Linked DNA regions of Lytechinus pictus. Each later gene encodes a partner of the first gene's protein in a complex. Links are inferred from orthologs where the notes say so. Each region holds a gene or a part of one and is shown in the gene's direction. Other genes may lie near its edges.

Region 1 (7,352 bases):
TTAATAGAATTTGAAAAAAAATATTGTACTTTTTTATCTAATACGACACGAATGTTATACATTCCTCTTTTTAAATTGGGAACCTGTTTGCCCCAAACTATGGTTGTTTAGTAATGATCTGAAAAGAAGGAGAAGTTGACTTTATGGAGGTGACGGCAGAAATTTATATAAAGATTTTACCCGCCCGGAGCCGACCCGACCAGAAGTTGCGCGATCAATTAAAAAAAAGATAACTTCATATACTTCGGCCTAACCTTACTCTAATTCCATGCCCTATTCTATACATTTGAACTTTAACTGGCAAGAAACACACATAGCTGAGGTGGAAAAGCAGGGTTAGAGAAAGGGTGGGGGAACAATGGAGAAACATCAATATTGTCATTTAACCGCGCGCAGCGCGGAAGCAAAATTCATATATAAATTTAGAGCAAGAGTGAAGAAGTTTCTCTTTTGAGAAAAAAATAAAGAATAAAAAGAAAAAAAAACCCGACAAAGCTACCTTTCTTCCCTTTCCTCCCTTCCCTTTTCTTTTTTTCTTCTCTTCTTTCCCTTCTTTTTTTTTTCGTTTTGGGGATGTTTTGGGGGGGGCGACCGCCCCCACCGCCCCCCCCCCTGGCTACGCGCCTGACAATATATATATATATACGGTATATTACCAATCTTCCAACAAAAAAAACAAAAAAGTAGACAAGTTGGCAATTGGCATAATTAAAAATAAAAGTAAAACGAACTGAAATAAACCATCCAATGACTGGTTTAAATTTTGGCCGATACAAAACTTCAAAAGGAGAGCCGCCGCGCCGTTTAGTTCCACATCTGTCAAAATTTTCGAAGGTAGTAAATAAAATAAGGAAGAAGGGCCGTAGCCGTAACTCGTAAGCAGGTAGAGCCCACTCAGATATAATATATACATGTACCGCGGAGCAGTGCAGTGGCAGCAGCTAGCAGAAGCGGATCTAGAGGGGGGGTTGGGGGGGTTGCAACCCCCCCCAAAAAAAAATCCGGGGACCATTTTTTTAAAAGAGTGGTGTTTTAGATGCAAGAAAACGCCATTTTCACACACAGATTTTCAAAAATTTTCCCTACTGTGGGAGGGGGGACACCCCCCTCCCACACCCTCCCCCCTCGCTCGCTCCGCTCGCTTGGACTCGGTCGCTACGCTCCCTCGCATACCACCCCAACCCCCCCCCTTTATAAAAAGCTGGATCCGCCCCTGGCTAGTACTACTACTAGTAGCAGTGCCAGTGGCAATGCCGCCATGCCGGTTGCGCCGGGCCAAGTGCAGGAACGCCGCTGGAGCTTCAGAAGTTACTCAGTCTCAGACAGAGACAGAGTCTAGACTTGATAAATAAAATTTTATTTTTTAAACTGGCTAAATATTAGAATTAGAACAGTTTCTCACCTTTGTATCGACTGATGGCCCTTCTTTGTATCCAACATCCTTCTTGAATTTTGCCAGGAAACTAGGCTCGGCGGGCTTTATGTAATTTACTTGACGTTTTGCTGCCATATCCTCTGGAACGAAACGGTTTTCGGTAATTATGGAAAGCTAAAGTCAGTAGCGACCATAGCGACGTAATTTTGTTAAGAAATATTTTCATAATACGTCAAATTTTGAAAATAGGTAACTTGTCCCACAAAAGATACATTTTTTAATATGTAAATTGGTACAAAAATATAAGCCTATATACTAAGGTTGGTGGTATCCTTGATATTCTGAATTCTGAGTAAGTTGTTATGGCTAAAGCCCGCGGGGCTGACCGGCATAGCATCTCATAGGTTCGGGTCATATCGGGGAGTCCCCCCTGACCCGTAAAATTACGTCATTCAGAGAAATTCATATAAAATCAATATGATGCACATCTAGCATGTGAGAACATTTCATCACATGGGGGCCATCTTATAAAGAGTTGTGATTGATCCGATCAATTGAGTGTTGTGGCCCAGTGGATTATTCTTCTGACTTTGAAACAGACATGACAGAAGGTCGTGGGCCCGTCGTGGGTTCGAATCCCAGCCATGGCTTATTTTCCTATTCAGCAAGAAACTCATCCACATTGTGGTGTACTCAACCAATGGGTACCCGGTAGGAAGAAATTCCTTGAATGCTTGAGCGCCTAGGCAGCTCAGCTAAAAAGCCGGGGTAATATAATAGCAGGACCCGCTGGTAGAACAGTTTTCGAAACTGAAGTGGCTACCCTGGGTAAATATATCTATATCATTATCATCAATCGCAACTATGGAAAGCCAGCAAAGTTAACATATAAAAAGATTATAGATTTGAATGTATATCCATAAATTAATTCATTGATTTCTTGACAATTTGGTGTGTTCTCCTTTTTTAAAAAGGACATTATGCAAATTTCATGTCGAAAAAATGATGACACTAATGGATTTCCATAGAGTTACGATTGATTGGATCAATCATAACTCTTTTGTAAGACGGGCCATGAACATGAATTTGACCTATTACTGGATCAAGTCCAGTCAAAAATATCCTTTGATCTTTTCAGTAATTCATGGGGATTTTATTAGTTGCCCAAGAATACCTATTATCACTGTTGCTGCCCTTCTGGCTGGCAAAAATTATTTTTACACTGCTTTTGGGCGATTCCATACCCACGTGTCGTACAGGACATTTTGACAACAATTTATAGTCTTTTAGCTGAATGCTTGAGCAATAAAACTTTCTTTGTTTGTCAATAAAGTTAAAGCGGGTAGAAAAAAAAGTTGAGTATGGGTGAATTATAGGTGAGAATGTTGTGTGTCGTAACCCCTAATTCACTATGGAAAACACATTTTGGTTGATAGTCATCATTTTTACATGACTACCCAGCCAATATTAACACAAAAACAAATTGAAGTTCCTTGTTTTGTTTGGACAGCAGGTGAAAAGTATTGAAAATGGCTCATTTTTCTACCATGGAATCGCCTTTTTCGTGATTTCTTTTCTTGCAGAGGATGAAAAGCTTCTTTCATATTTGAGTTATTTCTTTCTCCTCCATTTTCTCCGTTCTATTGCTTTTAATTTTTTCTTTTCCCTGGCACTTTTTTTTTTTACTTCACCTTCTGGTTTTTTTTACTTTCCTTTTTTTTACTGCTCTTTTATAATATAAGAGCAGGACTTTTTCTAAGTTTCGGAGTTTATTTTGGGTTTCAGACCCCCATTATTAATAGTAGAGTACATCTGTTTATCCAATGAAAAATTGAAAAAATTGAAAATCTTTTTTTTAAAATTATTTTCTATAAGGATGATAACTTGTCGATGTCTTATTCCAAAAATATTCATAAAAATAATAGTAATTATTTGGTTATTTTCATCCAAATTTGCACTGATGGTGTGAACTTGTTTTCACAACATGTACATAAGGATTTGAATGCATAACTTTATATAAAGTAATGGTGGATTTGGCCCCTTGATAAAAACTGCTCATTTTGGAATAAAACTCAACTTAGATTTGCAATCAATTTTTACCAACCTTCCCATTTTTCAAATGTGACATGGTGCATTTGATTCCCATGTCAAAGATACATTATTATATATTTTTTTTAAAGTCAATTTTGATCAAAAGTGTATTCAGCCCCAAGCTCTTAGAATATGCGTAAAATGTATCAGCCAAACTAGCTATTCATGACTATAACTGTTTTCACAAAATAAAACTTTAAAATTCAATAACTTCACCGAAATTTTCAGCAATTTACTCAAAGAATTTTAATCCATTTATTCCTGGCATGTGTTTGGATTAAATTACTTTCAGCCAGCGGAGTACCCCTTTAATGTATTTCTTTTTTTTTTTTTACATGTAGGCCCTATAACGTATAGGGAACTATTTATTAGGCCTTTATATTGTTGATGCTGTGCTGCTGTTGACTGGGTATTGGCTATCAAGCCTATATATCATTATCATTTAAGTAACACAGCAATTATTTTCAATTCAATTTGTCCTGTCCACGTGGAAATTCGTTTTGCTCACAAAATTGATATTTGTTTTATTGTGAGCAAAACGAATTTCCATGTCTAAAATGAAATTTTAAGAACAAATATCTTTGAAACTAGACAATGAAAAATGCTTAGAAAATGCCTTGGAATTTCATGGTTCCAAATCCTCAAGGCAAATGCCTGCTCAAGGCTAAGGTTTGAAATTAAAAATTGATAAAGTGGGCAGGCGCGGCCGAGCAAGCCCCCCCCCCCCTAATTCCTCCTTCTCTCGCATCCTTTCCAAATTCCAAGTTGTAGGGCATGCAGAGGCGAGAAAATGTATGAATTATGCGCGCGTGCTGGCCGAATTGTCACGAAACTTCCCAATTAAATTTTGCGCGAAATTTGATTCATTCATCAAATTCATAATATATATCAGATCTAGGACCAATCTATCAAGCGAATGAAGGTTGCACCACTATGAATAATGCTGAGAAGAAGGAGTTCAAGAGTAAGTTTCACATGGTATCGAATGTACACTGTACCGTAATTGAATGATATTTGAAAATTGAAAATGAAATTAAACTTGCTTGCACTCGTCGGTCGAAGTCGGAGACGCCCTGCTGGAGCCAGCGGATAGGTACCACTATAGACAGCCCGACCCGGCCCGGTCGTGCTTCGAGATCTCGTTGCGAGGCCGAGCCCGAGGGCAATGGCGGGGCACTGGCACTTCGTATAGGTCCTACCCAGTTGTTGTGTGTGTCCGGACGATCAATTTTAGAAAGTCATTTGGAAAAATTTACAGGCGAAGTTTCATCAATTTTTAGTTTAAAATGTTAAGGAAATATTATAGAGAACAAAATAGAAAGATGATTGCAACTATTGTCATTGAATTCGTATTTGTACAAAATTGTAGTGTAATCCAAGGCCAAGCGGCAAAGACAAAACAGGAGGCTTCAAAAATATAAAGTGTCCAGATTTTTTTTTTCCACCCAAAATTTTGTCTCACTGAGGTCAGAAGCCCATTTGTTTTGTGTGTGATTGACAACAAAAATCCTTATCAAAACAAAAGTAGACGGTGAATATTTAAAGTAGACGGTGAAATTCGTGAAAAGGGGTAATTTTTCATGTCTCATGAGGAATCTGCTTATCACATTTTTATTTGCCGCCAAGGTAATCCTTTTGCAGCAAATGTAAACAAAGGAAATTGGACTCCAAAACTGGAGACTGTCTCTGAAATTGGATACCCAAATTCTTTACAAAAGTCTCTGATATTGGAGATAATCTCCCACATTGGAGACAGTCTCCAATATTGGCCGTGCGTCTCTACTGTTTAATCGGTGACTGCACACAGAGCAAAAAATGTCGCCCTTTTCATCGCATTCACACAGGCAAAAATGATTGTGGTTTGAGGGAAAAATCAAAGTTCAATGCATTTCTGACATATGATCCCATTATCCAAATGTACGGGTAATGATTTTGGATTTTGGTATCAAATTGAAGAGAATAAAATGCTCCAAATACACCTACTTAGTTTACATTTGGTCATATTTTTGTTGGAACTAATTTTGAAATTTGAATTAAAAAGGAATTTCAAAGTCTGGTATCTTGACTTCTTGTGAAGAAATGTAGGCCTACCATATTTTTGTAAACTAGCAAGTTTTTGTAGTATTGATAATGGCAAATCCAATGGAAATACACTACTCATTTTTCACCTCTCTTATAGCAGGATCAAGTTTCAGAATTGATTTCAAAATACCCTTCCCCACTGCTCCAGAAAGCCCAATGCAAAACTGCTCACAAAATATCTGCTAGTTACGGTACCTCAAGTGATGTTCATGTAGGCTCCACTCCACTTCTCTACCTCTACACCTACACCTACCTGAACATATAAAGCCTTAGTTAAATCTCGTTCTGAATACTCCGAGTGACAAAGTCACTTTATGTGTATTTAACATAAAACTCATGCAACAACATGTCCATCCTCCGATGATTCTTAAAAAAAAAAAAATTGTGATTTTTCATGATTTAGAGCCAGTGACAGTTTGCTCACACGTATTCCAAAACATCGCAAATCTCGCATGCGTGGGGATCGCAGCTCAAGATCATGAATATTCCTATAGATCAAGATCTGATAAATGAATATGTAAATAGTGAAACGGGCCCGATCTATAGGAATACTCATGAATATTCATGATCTTGAGCTGCAATCCCGCGCATGCGCGATTTTCGTTTGCAATGTTTTGGAATCGGCAGTGAATTAATACGTGAGAGGAAACTCACTGGCTCTAAATCACCAATTTTGAGACTCATGGTAGGATGAACACGGAGTGAAATTAGAATGAAATGTACCCTACAGAAGATTAGTTTTATAATGTTTTTAAGGTCATGTTGTTGCATGAGTTTTATGTTTAATACACATAAAGTGACACCTTTGTCACTCGGAGTATCAGCAAGTTTTCTACTGAATATATGGTTGTCACTTTTCCTTGTATGTCAGTAATGTGTATGTACTCCTTAGCCAAAGGCTGAATTGATGTGTGACGTTACATGTAGATCTTCAAGATTTTTTTAACGAAGGTAAGTTAATGGGATTAGAAAGATGTCAACCTCAATTTGCACACACAATGATTACAAGCTCAATTTAACTGGAAATCAATTGGAGACGGAAGAAAGAAATCTGAAATACATGTAGTTTTTACCTCTGATTTCAGTGATTTGTAATTGGGTCATTCCATATGTCAGCTGTCATCCCTGTCAAGTCATTTTGCCATTGTACATTAAGAGCAATATGCCTTGTGGTTCTCGTGCTATGACGCACAAACCTTTTTTCTTCTTGATTTACAGGATTACAGAAATGCAAGTTAAAAGCACAGACAGGAGGAAACCTAAAGGAAGAAGCAGAACTGAGCAATCTGATTGGTGAACTGCTTGCAAGATCTGGTTAGTCTCCATTTCATCCATTCCTCTTTACCTCTTTATTCAAGTAGATTTGAATTGACTCGTGTGGAATCAGTAGGGTGTAAACACTTTGACTCAAAGTGGTTAAAGATTTAACTTGTTGTTTACTGGGACCATTTGGCCTTTGTTCAAACCCTGGGAACTACAGCATCGAGCAATCAATGGGTTGAGAGGGAAGTAAAGTTCATTAAATCTTTCTAATACATTGTACGTGCGAATTAAGTTAGTGCAAATATTAAATAGCTTTTATAATTGATATTAGTGATGAAATTAGCTATTTTCCATCAAATATTTGTATTGAAGGTGGTTATGAACAATATACCGGTACTCTACATGTACATTTACCAAAATATGCCGTAACAATGTGTCAGTTTGTAAGGTTACCCGCAAGTGGATGAAATAATCCGCATTTAGTCGTATCTATACAAATCGTCTGCAAGTTTTAAGATAAATATGGTGACGGGTAGGGATC
Region 2 (7,094 bases), on another chromosome or scaffold:
TTATGATTGTTGCCAGGGTGGGAGGGGGAGGGATGTTTTTAATAGTTTTAAATGTAGTTTGCATACGTTTTGGCTGGGAGATGGTGGCCTGTGAATCATGTGCCTACCGGGCAGTGTCCCTTGAACTGTAGGTGAACGGTCATGCCCAGTCAGATGGCTTTCATGATTGTCGCGAGGGTGGGAGGGATGTTTTTAATAGTTTTAATATGTAGTTTACATACATTTTGGCTGGTGAATGGCCACGCCCAGTCAGATGATTGGTTTGGATTGTTTCCAGGGTGGGAGGGGGAGGGGGAAGGATGTCTTTTAATAGTTTTAATACAGTTTTACATTTTTCCTGAGATTGTTGCCAGGGGTGGAAGGGGGAGATGGAGATTCTGGTCTGGGAGCTGGTTGCCTGTAAAGTACATGTCTTGGTGAAAGATAGGGCCATTACGTCAGTTGATTTGCTAGGTTTTGCCTATCAAACTCTAGTAGCAGTGGCCATGCCCTGTCAGATTTTTTTTTTTTTTTACGTAGATTTGGCTGGGATATGATGGCCTGTGAATTATGTGCCTACCAAAGGCAACGTCCTTTGAGTGTAGCTGAACGACCATGCCCAGTCACATCTATTTTTATAGTCTGCATAGAGTTAGGAGATGAAGGTGTGTAAAGTATGTGTCAAGGTCAAAGGCATGGCCACTACATCAGTTGATCATTTAATTGTAGTAGCAATAGTCATGGCCAGTCTGATCATATGTAGCTTAGATTTAATACCTATTTGGTTTATGATGGCCTATGAATTATGCCTACAGGACCTTGCCCAATTATTAGAAGGTGAATAACCATGCCAAGTCAGTTGATTTGTTGGGATTTTTTATAGTTTGGATAATGAATCTGGCTGGGAGATGGTGGCCTGTGAAATATGTGCCTACAGGGTCTTGCCCTGAAATCGTAGGTGAACGGCCATGCCCAGTTAGTTGATTTTTTTTTGGGGGGGTAAGAATTGGTGATTTGGATTTTTTGAATTCTACTAAGATTGATATCAATCCCATTTTATTTATTTTTGAGTGGGATATGATGTGCCAACCTATAATCTAAGACAAGACTGGAGCTTTTGTCTATGTTATGACTCTGATGCTGTTACGCAAAGCGTCACCAATACATCTTTTTATCAAAGAATGTCCTGTGGCAGTTTTCTGTGACTAAGAATCTGCACCTAATCCTAGTTGATAAAAATAAGTAACTGAAGATCGGAGTGTATAGACGGTGGCAGCTTCACCGCTATGGTTTTTAGTCTTTTCTTGAGACGTATTGCTTACCTTTTGCCAATTAGCATCAGACTCGTAAAGGCAAAGACAAAAGCTACAGCCTAGAGTGTGGGCTAGTGATGCCCCTCATTAATTTAAGCGACCGGCCTCGTCCAGTCAGTTTAAGAGATTCATGTAGCTTAGATTGGGTAATCTCTGGCATTTACAGGCCCGCCTGTTAAATTGTAGGTGAACGATATGAGATTTTTAATATTGATCTATTTTAATAGCTTTGCTGGGAGATAGTGGCCTGTGAATTATGTGCCTTCCGGGCAACATCTTTTTTTTATAGTTCGCATAATTCAAAAATTCATATGGAAACCTTACTCCACCCACCATTTTAAAAGCACTTTAAGACTATTGGGTTGGCTTTCATTTTAGCCCCCCCCCCTCTTTTTTGTCTCGCCTGAACGAAGTTAATAAATTTTCCTGTTAGTCTGTTGGTCTGTTATAGCTAAGTCACATTCCAGCACGATTAGGGTTAACAATGTACTTGCAATGTGTTTTTTGGCCATTTTGGACTGGTTGCTGACTGAACGGTTGCTGACCGGACGCTTGTGATCATCGTACGAAGGCTGGGGCTCTCAGGTAGCATTGATGGGGGTGATCAGACAAAGATACTGGGAGATAAAGTTTTCTAATGTCTCCGCCGATATTTTTAATCGCCCACTCATCCGTGACACATCATTTAAGTATCGTTCAATGTCCAGCCATGAATCGGCCGATGTCCTTAGCATCGGAGGTCAACTCCTTGAGAGCAGATATCAGTCAGACATCGGCCATATCAACCGATTTCTGTTCGGACGTTAGTCACTAACCGATGGATGTCCGACCGGTATGCATCGATGTATGACCAATGTGATTGTCATCGGGCGGACAATGGTAGGTGATTAGAGATGCATCGTGGGCCCTTTATGAACCGCATCATTTAGCATGTACAATTGATGTCTGTAGGATACTCAATCAATAATCTTACGATGTCCGGTTATCGCACGAGTACCGTAGTAGGATTAATTTCGGATTATTATCAGATATTCAATCGATGACCAGATGTTGATCGCTGCCTCCCTGGCCCAAAATAATTTTGGTTGTATGGACGCGACCTCAAGATGGCAATTGTTACTGTGATGTGTTACTATTTGGCTGATGAGGACTGATGTTTAAAAAAAATGCTCACCCTTCGTCTACCCCTGATGTCCTGCCATCGGCCTGCGAATTTGACTTAATATGTCGTCTGTTGGTCTGTTGCAAAAATGTCCAGTTTTTGTTCAACTTGCTCTCATTTCTTTATTTCTGCATCAGTTACATTCATACTTGGTGCATACGATCCTTGGGTCCAAAGGTAATTTAAAGTCAAAAGGTCAAATGATATGAAATCATGGTCATCCTTGTTTTTGTTCAACTTGCTCTCATTTCTTTGTGCATCAATTTTCATCACACTTGGTTGAACGAATCCTTGGGTAATACTACATGTGTGTTGTTGAGGATGATCAAAGGTCATCTCGGGTTCAAATTGTAACGTTTTTGTTCAATTACTTGTTGTCATTTCGTTATTTCTGGATTAATTATGTTCACACATGGTCCATATGATCCCTGGGTAATGCCACATGTGTGTCCATGAGGATGATGGAGACAAAGGCCATCTAGGGGTCAAAGGTCAAATGATGTGAGGTAATGTCCATTCTTTTTTGAAGTCTTTTGTGTAACTTGTTCTCATTTCTTTATTTCTGTATCAATTTTGATCACACTTGGTACAAATGATCCTTTGGTAATACCACATATGTGTTCTTGATGATGGGGTCAGAGGTCATCTAAGGGTCAAAAGGTCAAGTTTTTGTTTAACTCTAAAAGGACTGGGCCCCCCAACGCTTTGCGCGATATTTCCAAAACGCAAAAAGATAGAGCCGCAATTTTTTTTACTTTTTTCTTTGAAGTCTCGTGCTTCTTTTGAGACCGAATTCGCAACGTACAGTTATAGTGTCACGACGCCACATGACTTTTATGAGACAATGTCATGTCAAAAATGGCTCATTTTTATACTTTAAATTTGTTTACAGTTTATGGAAGATGAAATTCATAAAAAGGTGTTCTAATTGGTCTGCTTAAATAATTTAGGGTTTAATTTAGTTGTTAAGTGGTCTGTAATAATTTCCATTGAAAAGAACAATGAAAAAACAAGATGAAGACATGAAGAAACAAAGAAATACATAAGAAATTCTAAAAACAAAGGAAAACATAAGAAAAATTTTGGCTTTCACGATTCTTTTTTGGAAACCTTTGATTAAGATTGCAAGAAAGATGACATCTGGGGGAAAAAATGAAAATTTTAAGTGAAATTGGCTGTTATATATATGCAAATAATGCTTTTCACTAATGAATTTGCATAGTTCATAATTGAATAAATGTTTCAAATTAAAAAAAAAAACAATGACCTGTAGTTTATGAGGTAAAAATGTGCCAAATTTCCAGTCCTTTTAGGGTTAAGCTGCTCTCATTTAATTATTTCTGCATCAAATATGTTTACACTTGTTACAAATTTTCCTTGGATAATTCCACATGTGTGTTCATGAGGATGATGCGATCAAAAGGTTAATTGATACAAGGTAATATCTATCCTTATTCAAGTTTTTTTTAACTTGCTCTCATTTCTTTATATCTGTATCAACTTACTACAAATAATCATTGGGTGAGACCACACTTTTGTTCTTGAGGATGATAAGGTGAAAGGTCATCTAAAGGTCAAAATATCATATTGCATATTTTAGTGATCGCAAAATCAGGAGAGATTGCTGGTTCACGAACCACCTTGTATAAAACTTTCACCTACATGTACGTGTATGTACTACACAGAGGTTTTTTTTAATTTATTTTTAATTTTCTTTCCAAACAATTTCCTAATTGTGTTGGATCGTCTTTGAGAAATTCCCTCCAAGATTCCAACAAAACTACTCCCCTGTATTCTTATTTTTTCCATCTTGTTCTATATACTGTCGATCAGGCAGGTGCTTGGGAAGATAGAGTCTTTATTGGGGAAGCAGAGCCATTGGTCTGTAACAGGTAGGTAACCAGATAACTGTTTTCACAAAACTGTCCATCAAAGCTGTGCATAATCTTATGAACAAGTGGAGTATGGCAAGCCAAATGTGTGTGTCTCAGTCACATATTGATATTGCTTTAGAAATAAAAAATGCTTTGCCTTGTAAATAGTAAACAGGCAGCCAAAACTGCTTTAAGACCACTCTTTAGGACCACCAGGCAAATGGGACCACAAATTTAAGTTTCCTCTGATTATATTTCCACATTGAATCATGCAGATTACCTGCTTGATAATGTTCTTGTCCCCTTTAAGTTGTTTTTATAGACGGATTGTTCATGTACGTATGAAGTAAATCATTTTATATACAGCAATAATTCTTAACATTTCATGACAACGGTTGAGCTTACAGTTTTTCACTTCATAATTCAGTCTATTGTAAAGTTATGCATGATATAATCAAGAAAGCTGTATGAAAGATTTTGTATGATATTTATAAAATGTTTCCACTCAGGTTTTACAAAAGATTTGAAGCTGATACACCCAATAGAAGGAAATGATAATGAATTGAAAATAAGAATTGACATCTAATTTGCATATTTTGATATAATTGCAAAACTGTTGTGTTGTAAAAAAAAAATTCAAATAGAAAATATCTTTGATTTGTGCCTTTTCTTTTACAATTTCTTAACTCTTCACGAAAATATTTGAGCTTACAGTTCTTCATTTCATTGTTCATTCTTTTGCAGTGTTATGCATTATTGAATGAAGAAACACATGGACCCCTCAGAAAAACAGCCACTTTGGCTAAAGAAAATGAAATACAAAATGTTGCACTGCTTGGTCTGTTCTCAATGCAGATCCATAAGGGGTCAAAATGGTCTGAAAAGTTCATTTATTAAAAAATTATGTTAATGGAGCATGGGGAGAGTTAAATAACTTTACAACTGATTTCATATTTATCCTGTAGATCCACTCATAGAAGCTAGCAACAAGTTGAGAGAACAGGTCCTACAATTCTTCTTCTATGTACATTCTTTCATTCAAAGGTTTGTATCAATGCTTAAGAAGACTGAAGATAGATTATAACATCATTCAACAAAAGTTTTCAAAGCAAGCTTTCAACGTTTTGTATTATTCTTCAACAACAGAGCATTTGAAAACAAACTGGAAGCAAAGAGGGCAAAGAGTTTAGATGAATTACTGCTTTGATTTTCTGATGATTTTGAAGTCTAAAGAGAAAAGGACAACACAAATGCACATCCAAAAGAAATGTTCAAAGATTCCAAAGTTGTCTGCAAGGGAAATGGTTGTTCATTCAAGCAAGAAGTTTTTTTGTCTCGCCTGCATAGCAGAGCGAGACTATAGGCGCCGCTTTTCCGACGGAGGCGGCGACGGCGGCGGCGGCGGCGTCAACATCAAATCTTAACCTAAGGTTAAGTTTTTGAAATGACATCATAACTTAGAAAGTATATGGACCTAGTTCATGAAACTTGGACATAAGGTTAATCAAGTATTACTGAACATCCTGCCTGAGTTTCAGGTCATATGACCAAGGTCAAAGGTCATTTAGGGTCAATGAACTTAGACCATGTTGGGAAAATTATTTTCAAAATCTTAACCGAAGGTTAAGTTTTTGAAATGACATCATAACTTAGAAAGTATATGGACCTAGTTCATGAAACTTGAGCATAAAGTTAATCAAGTATAAGAGAACATCCTGCTCGAGTTTCAAGTCACGTGACCAAGGTCAAAGGTCATTTAGGGTCAATGAACTTTGGTCAAGTTGGGGGTATTTGTTGAATTACTATCATAACTTTGTAAATTTATGGATCTAGTCCATGAAACTTGGACATAAGGCTAATGAAGTATTAGTGAACATCCTGCCTGAGTTTCAGGTCACATGACCAAGGTCAAAGGTCATTTAGGGTCAATGAACTTTGGCCAAGTTGGGGGTATTTGTTGAATTACCATCACAACTTTGAAAATTTATGGATTTAGTTCATGAAACTTGGACATTAGATTAATCAAGTACCACTGAATATCCTGTGCGAGTTTCAGGTCACATGACCATGGTCAATGGTCATTTAAGGTCAATGAACTTTGGCCGTGTTGGGGGTATATGTTAAATTTCCATCCTAACTCTGAAAGTTTATGGATCTAGTTCATAAAACTTGGACATAAGAGTAATCAAGCATCACTGAACATCCCCTGTGAGTTTCAGGTCACAAAACCAAGTCAAAGGTCAGTTAAGGACAATAAACTTAGGCCATGTTGGGGTAATTGTTGAAGTGCCATCATAACTTTGAAAGTTTATGGATAGAGTGAATGAAATGTGGACATGGGTGTAGTTGACAGTCTTAAGTCTCCGTTCAAATGTCATTTATGGTCAATGAACGTGGTATTATGTCATTATATGAATGGTGTTTTTGTGAATGATTATTTTATAGTAGTTTTCAAAGTTAGCACTGCTGCTATATCAAATTGCGTAATGCAGGCGAGACTGCCAGAGGCGTTCCACTTGTTTAAGAATGAACTGACAGTGAACTGCAAATTAATTCATACTGCATCCCATTTCTACAAAGAAGTACAAGACAATACACAGTTGCACTGTAGCCTTTGATGGTGACACGTAATGTTGACAGTTTCTTGAGAAAACTGAAAAGTGATTTTTTTTTTAAATAGATAATTGGGGATATATCCTATTTGATTTGATAAAAAGACATGGATATTGAACATTAATTTTTGACAAAAATTGAAGTTGGGTAAAA

What was found. The genes of interacting proteins can lie anywhere in the genome.
Region 2: tonsoku-like protein (region 1) and protein MMS22-like share a complex: the UniProt entries of both Homo sapiens proteins name them as parts of the MMS22L-TONSL complex. The link is inferred for Lytechinus pictus from reciprocal best matches to the Homo sapiens genes TONSL and MMS22L.

Annotation. Positions count from the first base shown.
Region 1 is NC_087246.1:68,429,854-68,437,205, forward strand, and holds the start of tonsoku-like protein, read left to right. Parts: upstream 1-4,274; 5' UTR 4,275-4,399; coding exon 4,400-4,430; intron 4,431-6,766; coding exon 6,767-6,862; intron 6,863-7,352. Other genes in the region: uncharacterized protein KIAA1143 homolog, read right to left, coding at 1,403-1,510. UniProt on the Homo sapiens protein: Component of the MMS22L-TONSL complex, a complex that promotes homologous recombination-mediated repair of double-strand breaks (DSBs) at stalled or collapsed replication forks.
Region 2 is NC_087248.1:10,792,321-10,799,414, reverse strand, and holds the start of protein MMS22-like, read left to right. Parts: upstream 1-4,008; 5' UTR 4,009-4,346; intron 4,347-5,293; 5' UTR 5,294-5,372; intron 5,373-7,094. UniProt on the Homo sapiens protein: Component of the MMS22L-TONSL complex, a complex that promotes homologous recombination-mediated repair of double-strand breaks (DSBs) at stalled or collapsed replication forks.